Rattus norvegicus: one gene and its partners. The protein of the gene in region 2 purifies or fractionates together with the protein of the main gene of each other region. This does not show direct contact. Links are inferred from orthologs where the notes say so. Each region holds a gene or a part of one and is shown on either strand. Other genes may lie near its edges.

The links. Proteins that work in one complex are often made in the same cells at the same time.
Region 1: the proteins of Hnrnpr (region 2) and Hnrnph1 fractionate together in Homo sapiens (co-fractionation; 3 studies listed by BioGRID and IntAct, with this or other methods). This does not show direct contact. The link is inferred for Rattus norvegicus from reciprocal best matches to the Homo sapiens genes HNRNPR and HNRNPH1.
Region 3: the proteins of Hnrnpr (region 2) and Ilf2 purify together in Homo sapiens (affinity purification with mass spectrometry; 3 studies listed by BioGRID and IntAct, counting the BioPlex papers as one, with this or other methods). This does not show direct contact. The link is inferred for Rattus norvegicus from reciprocal best matches to the Homo sapiens genes HNRNPR and ILF2.

What each region holds. Positions count from the first base shown.
Region 1 is NC_086028.1:35,193,337-35,197,502, reverse strand, and holds the start of Hnrnph1 (heterogeneous nuclear ribonucleoprotein H), read right to left. Parts: upstream 2,871-4,166; 5' UTR 2,808-2,870; exon of another isoform or gene 2,725-2,807; intron 2,308-2,724; 5' UTR 2,268-2,307; coding exon 2,171-2,267; intron 966-2,170; coding exon 810-965; intron 614-809; coding exon 470-613; intron 1-469. UniProt on the Homo sapiens protein: This protein is a component of the heterogeneous nuclear ribonucleoprotein (hnRNP) complexes which provide the substrate for the processing events that pre-mRNAs undergo before becoming functional, translatable mRNAs in the cytoplasm.
Region 2 is NC_086023.1:153,843,464-153,847,095, forward strand, and holds part of Hnrnpr (heterogeneous nuclear ribonucleoprotein R), read left to right. Parts: intron 1-145; coding exon 146-322; intron 323-1,963; coding exon 1,964-2,099; intron 2,100-3,632. UniProt on the Homo sapiens protein: Component of ribonucleosomes, which are complexes of at least 20 other different heterogeneous nuclear ribonucleoproteins (hnRNP). hnRNP play an important role in processing of precursor mRNA in the nucleus.
Region 3 is NC_086020.1:178,255,636-178,259,796, reverse strand, and holds the start of Ilf2 (interleukin enhancer-binding factor 2), read right to left. Parts: upstream 2,871-4,161; 5' UTR 2,765-2,870; coding exon 2,760-2,764; intron 1,982-2,759; coding exon 1,922-1,981; intron 1,584-1,921; coding exon 1,541-1,583; intron 1-1,540. UniProt on the Homo sapiens protein: Chromatin-interacting protein that forms a stable heterodimer with interleukin enhancer-binding factor 3/ILF3 and plays a role in several biological processes including transcription, innate immunity or cell growth.

The DNA of each region.
Region 1 (4,166 bases), on a different chromosome or scaffold from region 2:
CTAAACCAAGTTCCTTTCATAACAATTTTCATTCAGAAAATTACACTATCTAAAATATGTCTGGTCCCATGACCAAAAATAAGTTCTTACAACAAACACCATAATAAACTAACACTCTACACTCAACACTAATCTAATGTTAAAAAGAGCTTACCTTTAACTTGCAGTACTTTGCTAAACAGCAATATGAGGAAGTAGTTAAGATGGCTGAGTAGAATCCTCAAAGGTCTACTCTGAACTACAATACTAAATATAGGCAAAGTTAACACTTTGGAAATACTTCTAATTTCCACCTTTTAAGATGGGCTTAAGTTATTTGAAGGTCTCCAGGAAGAAAATGTGAATTTTACAACATATATTCAGCAACCTACTTTCAGTACCTAGACTACTCAACTTTAAAGTCTAATACTAAATCATGTCGCCAGAAGCTGCCATACCTCACTGCTCAGCAACAAACAGGACTACATACCTGAGAAGAACTGAACAATTTCTTCCTTGCTACATCCAAAAGGGAGTCCTCTAAGCCGTACAAAGCCATCATTGGCCGTGTCAGGACTATTGGGACCAGTATGCTTCAACACCCAATCCATTTCAACGTTGTTTGACTTGAATACTGAAAGAGGTGCTTAGAATTAGTCAATTAAGTTAGAGAACAAAGTCCAGATTTCCTGGGTTTTAGATAACTAGGAAGAGCTGCCATAAACTCCCTTAGATGACCATTTCCATGCGGTCAAATACCTAAAATTCAGAAGGGGTAAGACCTCTATGTGTTTAAACATTTACTGTTACTAGGGCAATGTAAATCAAACCTTCAACATATCTGTGTCCCATAGTTTCTCTGTCTTTTTTCAAGGCCAATTTGACTTCATCTTCTGATTCAAGTTCAACAAAAGCCTCGCCACTCGGTCTGCCTTCTCTGGTGTAGATGAAACGAATACCTTGAGCCCCATTTTGAATTTTGCAGTCTGAAAAGAAAACAATGCTTAATACAGAATTTAAAACCACCTCTGGGTGATACAGATGAGATGCATATTCCTGTCATCATTAAAAAAAAAAAAAAAAAAACCCACTCCTAAAGACTAAACTGATCACTCACCATCAAATTACCTGGTATATAGGATATATTCCTAATCCATCAAGGTACCTTAATACTCAAAAACAGTTCAAATGAAGCTACTGCCTTGCCTCTAAGTATCCACTAACCATCTCTGCACAATGTCTCAGAATAACCTCATCTGGGCCTGGTGACCTCACAGCATTTTCTGGGTGGGGTACCATGTCAGCTCTCCTCTATCAGCAGCCACATAACTGCTCACTCAAATCCAAACTCCAGCTCAATACTCACCTGAAAGGGCATCAATGTAAACAACTAAAGGCTCCAAACTGCACAGCTCAAGTCAAACCCGATGGCAACTGCCCCCTGCCATTGCTTCCAGTATACTTGAGTCTTGTTTTACAGGTCGTTTTCTGTTACCACAGCTAAATTCAGACAGTAAGGTCAACACTACAGGTACCTTTTTACGAAACTTGTCAATGTTTTTGAAATACACCTCTCTTCTCTTACAACAGTGGGAATAAGATTCTGATAGAAATTATTCAGAAAGCCTACACATAGTGTAAAAATAAGTAAGATTCTACAGTGACAAAACTTTCTTGGGTTTCAGGGTTCTCAGTTGTAAAGGGATCCAGTTTTTTAATTAACTAGACCTAGAGCATGAATTCAAGGACCAAATCCTAATCAGGAAAAATGAACTTTTCCAAAGCAGAATGCCTCTTTTCAAGTGAATATATGTAAGGAAGTGCAGTAGCGCTTCAAAGGGGAAATTACTATCACTTGTCTGTACTGCTCCATTTGTTTTTCAAGACCAGGAAAGAAATCATATCTTTCCCTACTGAATTCTTTCAGAGACAATTCCAAAATGCACAGATTGGTGCTTAGAGACCGAAAAGATTCTGCAGGGCCACCAGCATCCCAATGGGAGAAGGGGAGGGGGGCGGGAGGAGGGGGCATTTCGCAATTACCATTGCGTAACAGCGGCTGGCAGAGCGCGAGCCCGGGAACCGCTGGTGCCTGCGACTCGCTAGGGGGCGCCCAGAGGTCCGCCCCGCCCCGCCCCGCCCCGCCCGGCCCAGCCGCGGGCCCCCACTGACAACTCCCGCCTCAACTCACCAGAAAAAAACCGCTGCACTTCATCCGCGGAGCAGGACCAGGGCAAGCCCCGGACCTTCACCACGAAGCCCTCTCCGCCTTCTGCTCCCAGCATCATCGTCTCTTCGCTGGTCCTGGCGTCGAAACAGACTGCAGGGCTGCGGGGTGGGAGGGGGGTGGGGTTGTTAGGAACACGTCTAAGAAACAGTCATTTAAATGGCCCTCCCACTTCAAGGCGCCCTGCGGGGTTCGACCGGGCGCCGCTACGGGAGCCCCGCCCGGTACGCTGCCTTGACCCCGGAGACTCAAGCATGCAACCCGGCCTCGGCTAGCGACCCGATCCCCAACACCACTCTGTGCGCTCAGTGCTGAGGAGGGTCTAGGCTAAGAAAACCCTGGCCTACAGCCATGGTGGAGACAAGGAAATGGCGGCCGCCGCTTCCGCTCCGCCTCCTCAGACATCTCACACAATAGAAGCGGCGCGGCCTGCAGGCCTAGGCGGCGCTGCCACGCCGGCGAGACACTCGCGGTTTCCAGGGGTAGCCTGTGCTTGCCACGGCCCCCCAGGTTTTAACCTAAGTTCAGCGACAAGCAATCGTCACCAAAATAGGCGTCCGTGGAGGGCTCTGGTAGCAAACGAAGACAGAACACCACTCACCTCCACACAAAGCCTCGGCGTGGCTGAGGAAAAATGATAGGAGAGCGCCTGCGCAGCCTAAATAAAGCCCTCCGAGCAAACTCTGCGCACGCGCACCCCGTGGCCGGCCCCGCCCCACTCGCGTCACACAAAGATTAAACGCATGCGTATTAAGAAAACCTGCGCTCTCTCCCGCTAGCCCATTATTACACGCATGCGTTTGGGCTCCGGCCCCTTCATAAACTGACCGAGGGGTTTTTTTCTTCCTGCGCCTGCGCCCTTTTGCAATTATTGCGCTTGGCGTCTCAGCGGTTTATCGTTTTACTTAAAGCGCATGCGTCTGCCTTCAAACCGTTCTCTAGACCTACCCGCCAGAGTGGGGGAGGGGAATGGCGATAATCAGCTCCCAGCAGGGACTGGGTAATAATCCAGAGTTCAGGTTTACAGGGGCGGTTGTTCTACCCTTAATCCGCAGCTTTTCTTCCGCGTTCCTGTCAGTTTTGAAAGACAGCAGGAGGAAAAGGAAGCCATGCCCTTTCTCCCTAGAACGCGTAGGAGCTGGAAGGCCGGTTTATGCCGAGCCTCCTCTCCGTACCGCCCCGCCCCTGCGCCCAAATCCCAGATCACCGTGGGGTGCCTAGGACCAGTCCCCTTACCTGCCCGCTTTAGGGGATCAGTCCCCGACCCACATGGGCTGTCAGTGCCCGAGCTAGTCCTGTATCCCACTTTGCCTAACGAACTCGCAGTCTGCGAACCCCTCGCCTTCCCAAGGCCGCGGGCCCTCGCACGAGAAGCGCTCTGTGTGCTGCGCCTCGCGAGTGAAGGCTGAGACTACCAGGTGCGCGGAGGACGCAACCCCAGAGCGCGGCGCCCGACCGATGTACCTCTCCCAGGTGGAGACACCTCCGGGTCATCTCGTGTGCACTTACAGAGATAAATGGGTAAAAAGTTAGAATTCCAGCAACACAGCAGAATACGGATGATGTTCGGAGTCTCTCCGGATTTGACTGACCCACCCCTGCCAGACCTGGTAGAAATTAACAATAGTGTTATTGTTTTGGTGGTGCCACAGTGGGTACCACAGTTGGTATGCCTCTGAATGCCATCACAAGAGGTCGCGGTCAAAATTACGTTTTTCTTTCAAGTACAATATTGAGGAGGCTAAATCCACTTTGGATAGTTTTTTTTAAGGGGGTGGTGGTCATCAAAGGAAAGGTGCAGAGACAGCATGCAGAACTTGGACCTTTTAAGTCTGCGCAAGGGTGTTAAGTAGACAGAAGCTTTCAGCAAGAGAGCAACAGGAGCTGTGTAACATGAACCTTCAGGTGTAAGGGAAACTCCGATGAAACAGGCTGGGAGAATAGTGGGGCATGACCTCAC
Region 2 (3,632 bases):
ATCCAAATCAATTGCCAGATTCAAACTGTCCCCATTCTACCTTAAGTATCTTATGCTTTTTTATCCCCTAACAAGAGACAGGAAGTTTGACTGGGTCTAAAATGAAGTACTTATGTTGGCTTCTAACAAGGAAGTTTTATTTCAGGTCTTTGTAGGTAAAATTCCAAGAGACTTGTATGAGGATGAGTTGGTGCCCCTTTTTGAGAAGGCTGGTCCTATCTGGGATCTACGCCTCATGATGGATCCACTTTCTGGTCAGAACAGAGGCTATGCGTTTATCACCTTCTGTGGAAAGGAAGCCGCCCAGGAAGCAGTTAAACTGGTATGTGATAAATATCCATTGTCCAAGAACTGCCATTTGAGAGAATAAAAGCATTTGCAGTTAACATTGTTTCATTTTCTTTAGTCTCTACTTTTAATATCTTTATATTGACTGATTCTTGGTATGTAACCTTTTTTATTTTTTCTGATTATAATTCTAAGATAACAGATTAGTTAGCACAATTTTATTTAGTATCAAACAAATGTTTTTTCTTTTAATGTCATTTCTCTCTGTCAAACTTTAATTTGGTACTAAAGTATACTGGAGGCTGAAATGGTTCTGCAGAATGTAACTGGAAGACAGTAACTTCTCTAGGAGAAATAGCATGACTGTTTTATTTTTATCACAATCCAGCTATGCAGTTAATACATTGTGTTCTAAATCTCTGCTTCTCTGCTGTGTAATAGCTGGCTTCTGTGGCTTTCCTTTTCTCTAAGAGCTGTACGACCTTGCATTCCTTAGAGCAGCAGCAGTTTTGAGGATGCCTGGATTCTCTCTGACTCTCTCGGTGTGTTAAAGTGACAGTGTTATTGTTCTGGCAGATTTCTGCCAGCTATCTAAGGGCATATGCAATATGGTATGGCACTTCTTGCCTTCTTTTAAGCACAGCTATATCTGCCAAGTGTGCCTGTTTCATTAGTGAGTGTGAATAAGTCCTTTACTAGCTTGGTCCAGGTTTTAGTATTTCTGAGGGATTTTTTTTTCTTCAAACTTGTTTATTCAATATTAAGGAGATTTCAGGACTTTATATTCTAGTTTTTGATAGGGTATAGGTAACTAAAAAGATTTATTTATTTATATATATGAGTGCTCTATTTGCATGTTTGCCTGCATGACAGAAGAAGGCATCAAGATGCCCTTATAGATGGTTGTGAGCCACACGTGGTTGCTGGGAATTGAACTCAGGACCTCTGGAAGAGCAGCCAGTGCTCTTAACTGCTGAGCTATCTCACCAGTCCCATGAATAACTTTTAAAATCATATCTTTTAGTAAGCTAGTGGTAAGTAATGCTAAAATATAAAGTATTATTTAAGAATTCACATTTTTTATTGTCTTCATAAAGTTTTGGAAGTGTTCTGATACTTTGTGGCTTTATTTAGAATTGTGGTTTGTATACAGTGTGAAACTCCTTTAAGTTTCTTTGGCATTGATTAAAGTAAATTCTTCCTTATTTTGGCTATTGCTGATCTATATCTAATTTCATCCTCAAGGACTCTGAATAAACATTTTCAGGTATTTTGAAATTTTCTGGAAAGGAATGTTCAGGTAGATAAAATTGAAATAAGTCAGCAGTGATGGTGCATGTCTTTAATTTTAGCACTTGGGAGGTAGAGAAATGCAGGTGGATTTCTTGAGTCGAAGGACAGCCTGATCTACACAGTGAGTTCCAGGACATCCAGGGCTATACAGAGAAACCATGTCTCAAAAACAAAAAAATGGGGAGGGGGATATTCAGGGCTAAATTTTAGCCCTTTTTTATAACTGGAGACTGTAAGAAATTTAAAATCTACACTCATGTTTCAGCAAGCGTGAAGGAGCTTGGTGAGTGTTTGATCTTAAATTGTGGGGCTCTTTAGATTAATATTAGTTGTCCTCAGTCTGGGGTGGTTTGGGGGTCTCTGGTTTTTTTCTTCCTTGCAGTGTGACAGCTATGAGATTCGCCCTGGTAAACACCTGGGAGTGTGCATTTCTGTGGCAAACAACAGACTTTTTGTTGGATCCATTCCAAAGAATAAAACTAAAGAGAATATTCTGGAAGAGTTCAGTAAAGTCACAGGTAAAACAAAAATGCATTTAGAAGTTGGTTTGTGGGAATCTGTTGCATTATTTACAAATATAAATGCTCTCCCAGAAGGAGATATATAGTAAACAGAGAGTTCAAGTCTCCTGTATCTCGTTTGTTTCTTTCTGCTTTAATAGTAGTTGGACTAAATAAATGTCTAAATACTCTTGATTTCATAGAATTTTCTTTTTGCTTTGTCTTAATCAACCCTTGTTTTTTGCTCTTTAGCCCTCAAGTGAAAGTGTTTTCCTTCAAAAGCTTTTTAGGATTAGAGAGAAGGCAGTTCTCATTTCCAGTTAACCTGTCTACATAAAAATTTAAAAATTCTGATTGAATCTGTGCAGTTGATTGAGAAGTATATTTTATATCTCAGCTCCACATACTTAAATACATACCTGGAGTCATGCATAGGGATGCATAGGCTTAGCACTTGGAGGTTAGGAGTTTTAAAAAAAGCTCAACTCAAGAATAGTCTGGAATACATGAGATTCTATCTTAAAAAGCAAAGCAGAAGACTAAATGTATAATGTGAAAGAATTGAGTAAGACTATACCTTGATTATACAAATGATTCCATCGACTTTCCATTAACTTTCACTTTTTATGTGGGTGCTGGGGATTTGAACTTATATTCTCTTGCTTTCACAACAAGCACTCTTCCCACTGAGCCATTTCCCTACAGCCTTCAAAGGCCTGGAGTTTGCTATGTAGCCCAGGCTGGACTTGAATTTACAGAGATTTAACTGCCTTCACCTCCAGAATGCTGGAATTAAAGGAGTGTGCACCACATCTGGCCTGCATTTCAGTTTTTAATGTGAGATTGGACTAGTGAGATGGCTCAGCTGTTAGAGCTGTTCTTACTGCAGGCCTCAGGATCTGAGTCAACTCCCAGATCACTAAAATTGGCAGGAGAGAGCCCACTCGATAAGAGTTGTTCTTTGACTTCTGCAGATGCACGATGCCTTAGGAGCATCTGTTAACATGCACACTAGCCTGCTCGCTCGGTCTCGCTCTCTCCCTCTCTCCTCTCCTCTCTCTTCTCCTCCCTCTTCCTCCCCTCCCTCTCTCTCCCTCTGTCTCTGTGCGTGTCTCCTTGTTTCTCCCTCCTTCCTCTGACACACATGAATGAATGAGACAAAGAAAGGGAGGGAAAGAAATGGTGAGATTATGATCTGAAAACAGTTTTAAGACCATGATTTCCTCTTATGAAAACCAGTACATTCTTTCATGTTTTGTTACCCAGTCATACTGTTTATCCCCGTTACTTACAGCTACCGTTTACTTTACCTTAAAGGCTGCCCCATGCTGTCCTCCCTCTCCCATCCTAGGTTGACTGACTTATTGTTAGTGCTCTCATCCGTTCATTTTTGGGTTTTCTTTTTTAAAAGGTTTATTGTGTGTGTGTGTGTGTGTGTGTGTGTGTGTGTGTGTGTGTGTGTGTGTCTGTGTCTGTGTCTGTGTCTGTGTCTGTGTGTACACTGTCACTGTCCTCAGACACACCAGAAGAGGGCATCAAATCCCATTTCAG
Region 3 (4,161 bases), on a different chromosome or scaffold from region 2:
AAAAAAAAAAAAATCCAGATGGGGGGTTGGGGATTTAGCTCAGCGGTAGAGCACTTGCCTAGCAAGCGCAAGGCCCTGGGTTCAGTCCCCAGCTCCGAAAAAAAAAAAAAAAGAGCTGCCCCTGATAAAAAAAAAAAAAAAGCCAGATGGCAATGGTGGCACACACTCAGGAGGCAGAGGCAAGTGGGTTTCTGAGTTCCAGGATAGCCAGGGCTACAGAGAAAAGCCCTGTTTAAAAATCCAAACATAAATGAAGAAAGAAAGAAACTAATTATAATCTACCATGTAGTATAATATACACATTGAGCACTCTGGAGGCAGAGGCAGGCAGATCTCTGAGTTCCAGGCCAGCCAAGGTTTTATACACACACACACACATACACACACACACACACACACACACACGCAATGTCTCAAAGTAAATAAATAAGTCCTAAAAATATTTTTTTTTAAAAAAAAGGTATTTTCTAGGGTTGGGGATTTAGCTCAGTGGTAAAGCGCTTGCCCAGCAAGCACAAGGCCCTGGGTTCGGTCCCCAGCTCCGAAAAAAAAGAAAAAAAAAAAAAAGTATTTTCTAGACAAATATTACAATCAAACTGTAAAGAAAGTATCTTCCCTGCCTTGCTTACACTCTTTTCTAAGTTTTGTTCTTATTGAGACGGTTCATTTGTAGCCCAGGCTGGCCCTGAACACTAACAATGGTCCTATTGCTGGGGTTTCCATTGCTGGTATCACAAAAGGACTTCATTCTCTTTAAGACTGGCTGGGCTGGTGAACTGGCTTGTTTTTAATATGTATTTATGTATATGCGAGTGCCACAGTGTGTGTATATGCATCCTGTGTGCAAGAGCCTGTGGAAGTCAACAGAGACGTAAGAGCCTTGGAAATCAGAGTTACAGACAGATGTGCACTATGTACGATGTAAGAACCGGGAAAAACTTGTGTCCTCTGCTAGAGCCATGTTAGACCTGTAGTTATAGCTCTAAGTAGATTGCAATATATAATAAATACAATAATAAAATAAAACCAGTTAATGGGGTATACATGTAGCATGTTCACATCTCTAGCACTCAAACTAAGTAAATAAAAACTTACAGCAGGGGGGCTGGAGAGATGGCTCAGTGGTTAGGAGCACTACTGCTCTTCCAGAGGTGCTGAGCTCAATTCCCAGCAACTACATGGTGGCTCACAACTGTCTGTAATGGGATCTGATGCCCTCTTCTGGTGTGTCTGAAGACGGCTACAGTGTACTTATATATAATAAATAAATAAATCTTAAAAAAAAAAAAAACTTACAGCAGATGAATGCCTGTAATTCTAGCATTCAGGAGGCTGAGGCAGGAAGATGATGAATTTGCAGTCAGCTTGGTATACATAGAGTTCCAGGCCAGCCAATCATACAGAAGACCCACTCTCAAAGAACAGATCCATTCTTGAATCCTACTCCAAACAGTATCTAACGTCATTAACAAGGATTCTGGGCTTCTACACCTGTAAGTGAGCAGTAGCCAGTCAAGTTCTCCAAAGCCAAAATACTCACCAAATAGAAATCAAAGGGGATGTGGGGCACAAAAGGCCTGAACCTGAAACATGAAAACAATCCAAAATTATTCAGGCAGAAAGCAAGCAAGAGAATTCTGTCTTAAGAATTCAGGCATTTCTGGGGTTGGGGATTTAGCTCAGTGGTAGAGCGCTTGCCTAGGAAGCGCAAGGCCCTGGGTTCCGGTCCCCAGCTCCGAAAAAAAAAAGAATTCAGGCATTTCTAAGCTGCATCATTCTTAGCAAAAAGCCAAATTCACTTTGTAGGACATGAGGAAAAGAAATGCTTCGAGTGGTTTTCACAAAATCAAACAGAACAATCTACTCCAAACTCCTATCTACTGAAACAAACCAAGGCAAAGACGTGAACAGCCACACTCACCCTCCTCCAGGACCTCCTCTGGAACCAAAGCGCCCACCACGACCACGTCCTCTGTCACCCCTAAAAGTACATACATTTTACTCTCATGTTGCTGAAAAAGGTTTCCATCACACCATCAATGTTATTTCAATGTGACTTACCCTGACCCCCCTCCAACTACTGAAGTCGACAGATATATCATGCTCACTTCTCCCCGATTCCAAATGATGTCCAGTCCCACTCTCATGACATCCTAATTCTGGACTTTTTTTTCTTCTGTTTTTGAAACGGAATCTCATGTATCTCCTGCATTACCTCCCCCCACCCCAAGACTGCATCCTGAGCCACCACACCCCACTTCTAATTCAGGATTTTATCAAAACTCACATCAGGAAAATACGAGTTTCAGAACCTGACATACATACCCCTACTAAGTAACCCACGATCCTGAGGCACACGGGTCGTAATATTCAGGGTAAGGTGACTTCTCATTTATTAATACAGCATACCAGTTACGAGACATGTCCAATTGGTCAAACACTAGGCACCAGAAAAATGTGCAGCGCTCCAGCCTGCTCACTGCGCACGGAGGGTGATCTTCCTGGTCCGTTAAGACCTCTCCTCCATCCCCCGAGACCCAGGAATCAACACAACTGCCCTGCTGGGGCCCGGCCCCCCTCCAGGCCCGATTCCCCGAGTCGGCCAGCCTCCTCCTACTCCACTCTCTCCGGCCCGGCTTTCCGCCGGCCGCCCAGATACAGGCCCTTCTTCCCCCGACTCCATTTCAGCCTGCTCCCCAACTCCAACCCCCCATCCCTCGAGGCTACGGCAGGAACTTTCAAGCACCCTGTCTACTTACCTCATGGCTCGCTTAATCCTGAACAATGGAGACCACTCAACCGCTCTTCGCTTGGAAGAATCAAGGTAACAGAGAAACGTCGGGTCGGCGTGTCCCAACAAACGCCTGCGCGATAGGCTCCCGCCTCACTCCGTCCCGTGCGTTTATTGGTTAACCCAGCAACCAATGGAAATGCTCTGTAAAGGAGTCAACCAATAAGAAGACATACCAGGGACAGAGGCAATTTCCCCCACTTACAGTAGAGGGCGTTCAGAATTTGAGGCTGTAAGCAGGTAAAGTCTTCTATGGTAATACAAGCATAGCCTACCAGTAGGTAGCAGAGTGGCGCAGCGGAAGCGTGCTGGGCCCATAACCCAGAGGTCGATGGATCGAAACCATCCTCTGCTATCGGAGACTTTGTTTTTCTTTTTACGGGTGAAAATACAATTAAATTTTTCCATAGCAAGAGATGTGGGGTTTTTTTTCCTTCTCCAACTTTTTTTTCCAGACAGCGTCTTGCTTTGTCACCCTAGTTTACATAATACTCGTTAATGTAGCCTGAGCTGTCATCAAACTCTTAGCAATCTCTGCCGTGTGCCGCCTCACTTGAAAACATAACTTTTACCTTACGGAAATATCAGAAATAGTTCCATTTCCCACCATTTTTTCCCTCAATATCATTACTGTTATATGATTCTTTTTTATTGAAAATTGTCATACAATTTTTCTTGATCATGTATTTCTCTTCCCCAGTTCCACCCAGATCCTCCCTCCCCACTTCCCTATGCTAGGTGATTCTGACAAGTATTGATGTATTATTTACTTTTGTAGGCATCTATTCCTTCTAAGTAACCTCATTAAAATAAGGAATACTTTATCAGGTCGGCAAGGTGAGTCGGCAGGTACAATCGCAACTACCTGAGTTCGACCTCTGGAGACTCAGTGATGGAAGGTGAGCCGCGATCTGCATTTTGTCCTCCGACCTCACTATGAATGCCGTGGGTGTGGTGACACCCACAAACACAACATAAATAAATGTAACGGAAAAAAATTTAAAGGATATTTTGGTAAACATGGTGGAGCATGTCTTTAATTCCCGCACCTGGGAGGCAGCGGCAGGAGAATCTCTGTGAGTTCAAGGTCAGACTATTCTAGGTAACCAGTCCATGCCAAGTAAGTCTACATAGGGAGATCCTGCCTCACAAAAACAGTATTTTATCATCTCAGAAAGATAACCATACTGGATTTCTACTATCGTGGGTTAGGTTTGCCTTTAGATTTTCTTTTTATTGGGGCTCGATCAGAGATGACTCAGCAGTTCTTTTTTTCGGAGCTGGGGACCGAACCCAGGGCTTTGCGCTTCGCTTCCTAGGCAAGCGCTCTACCACTGAGCTAAATCCCCAACCCTAAGTTCAGTCAATCT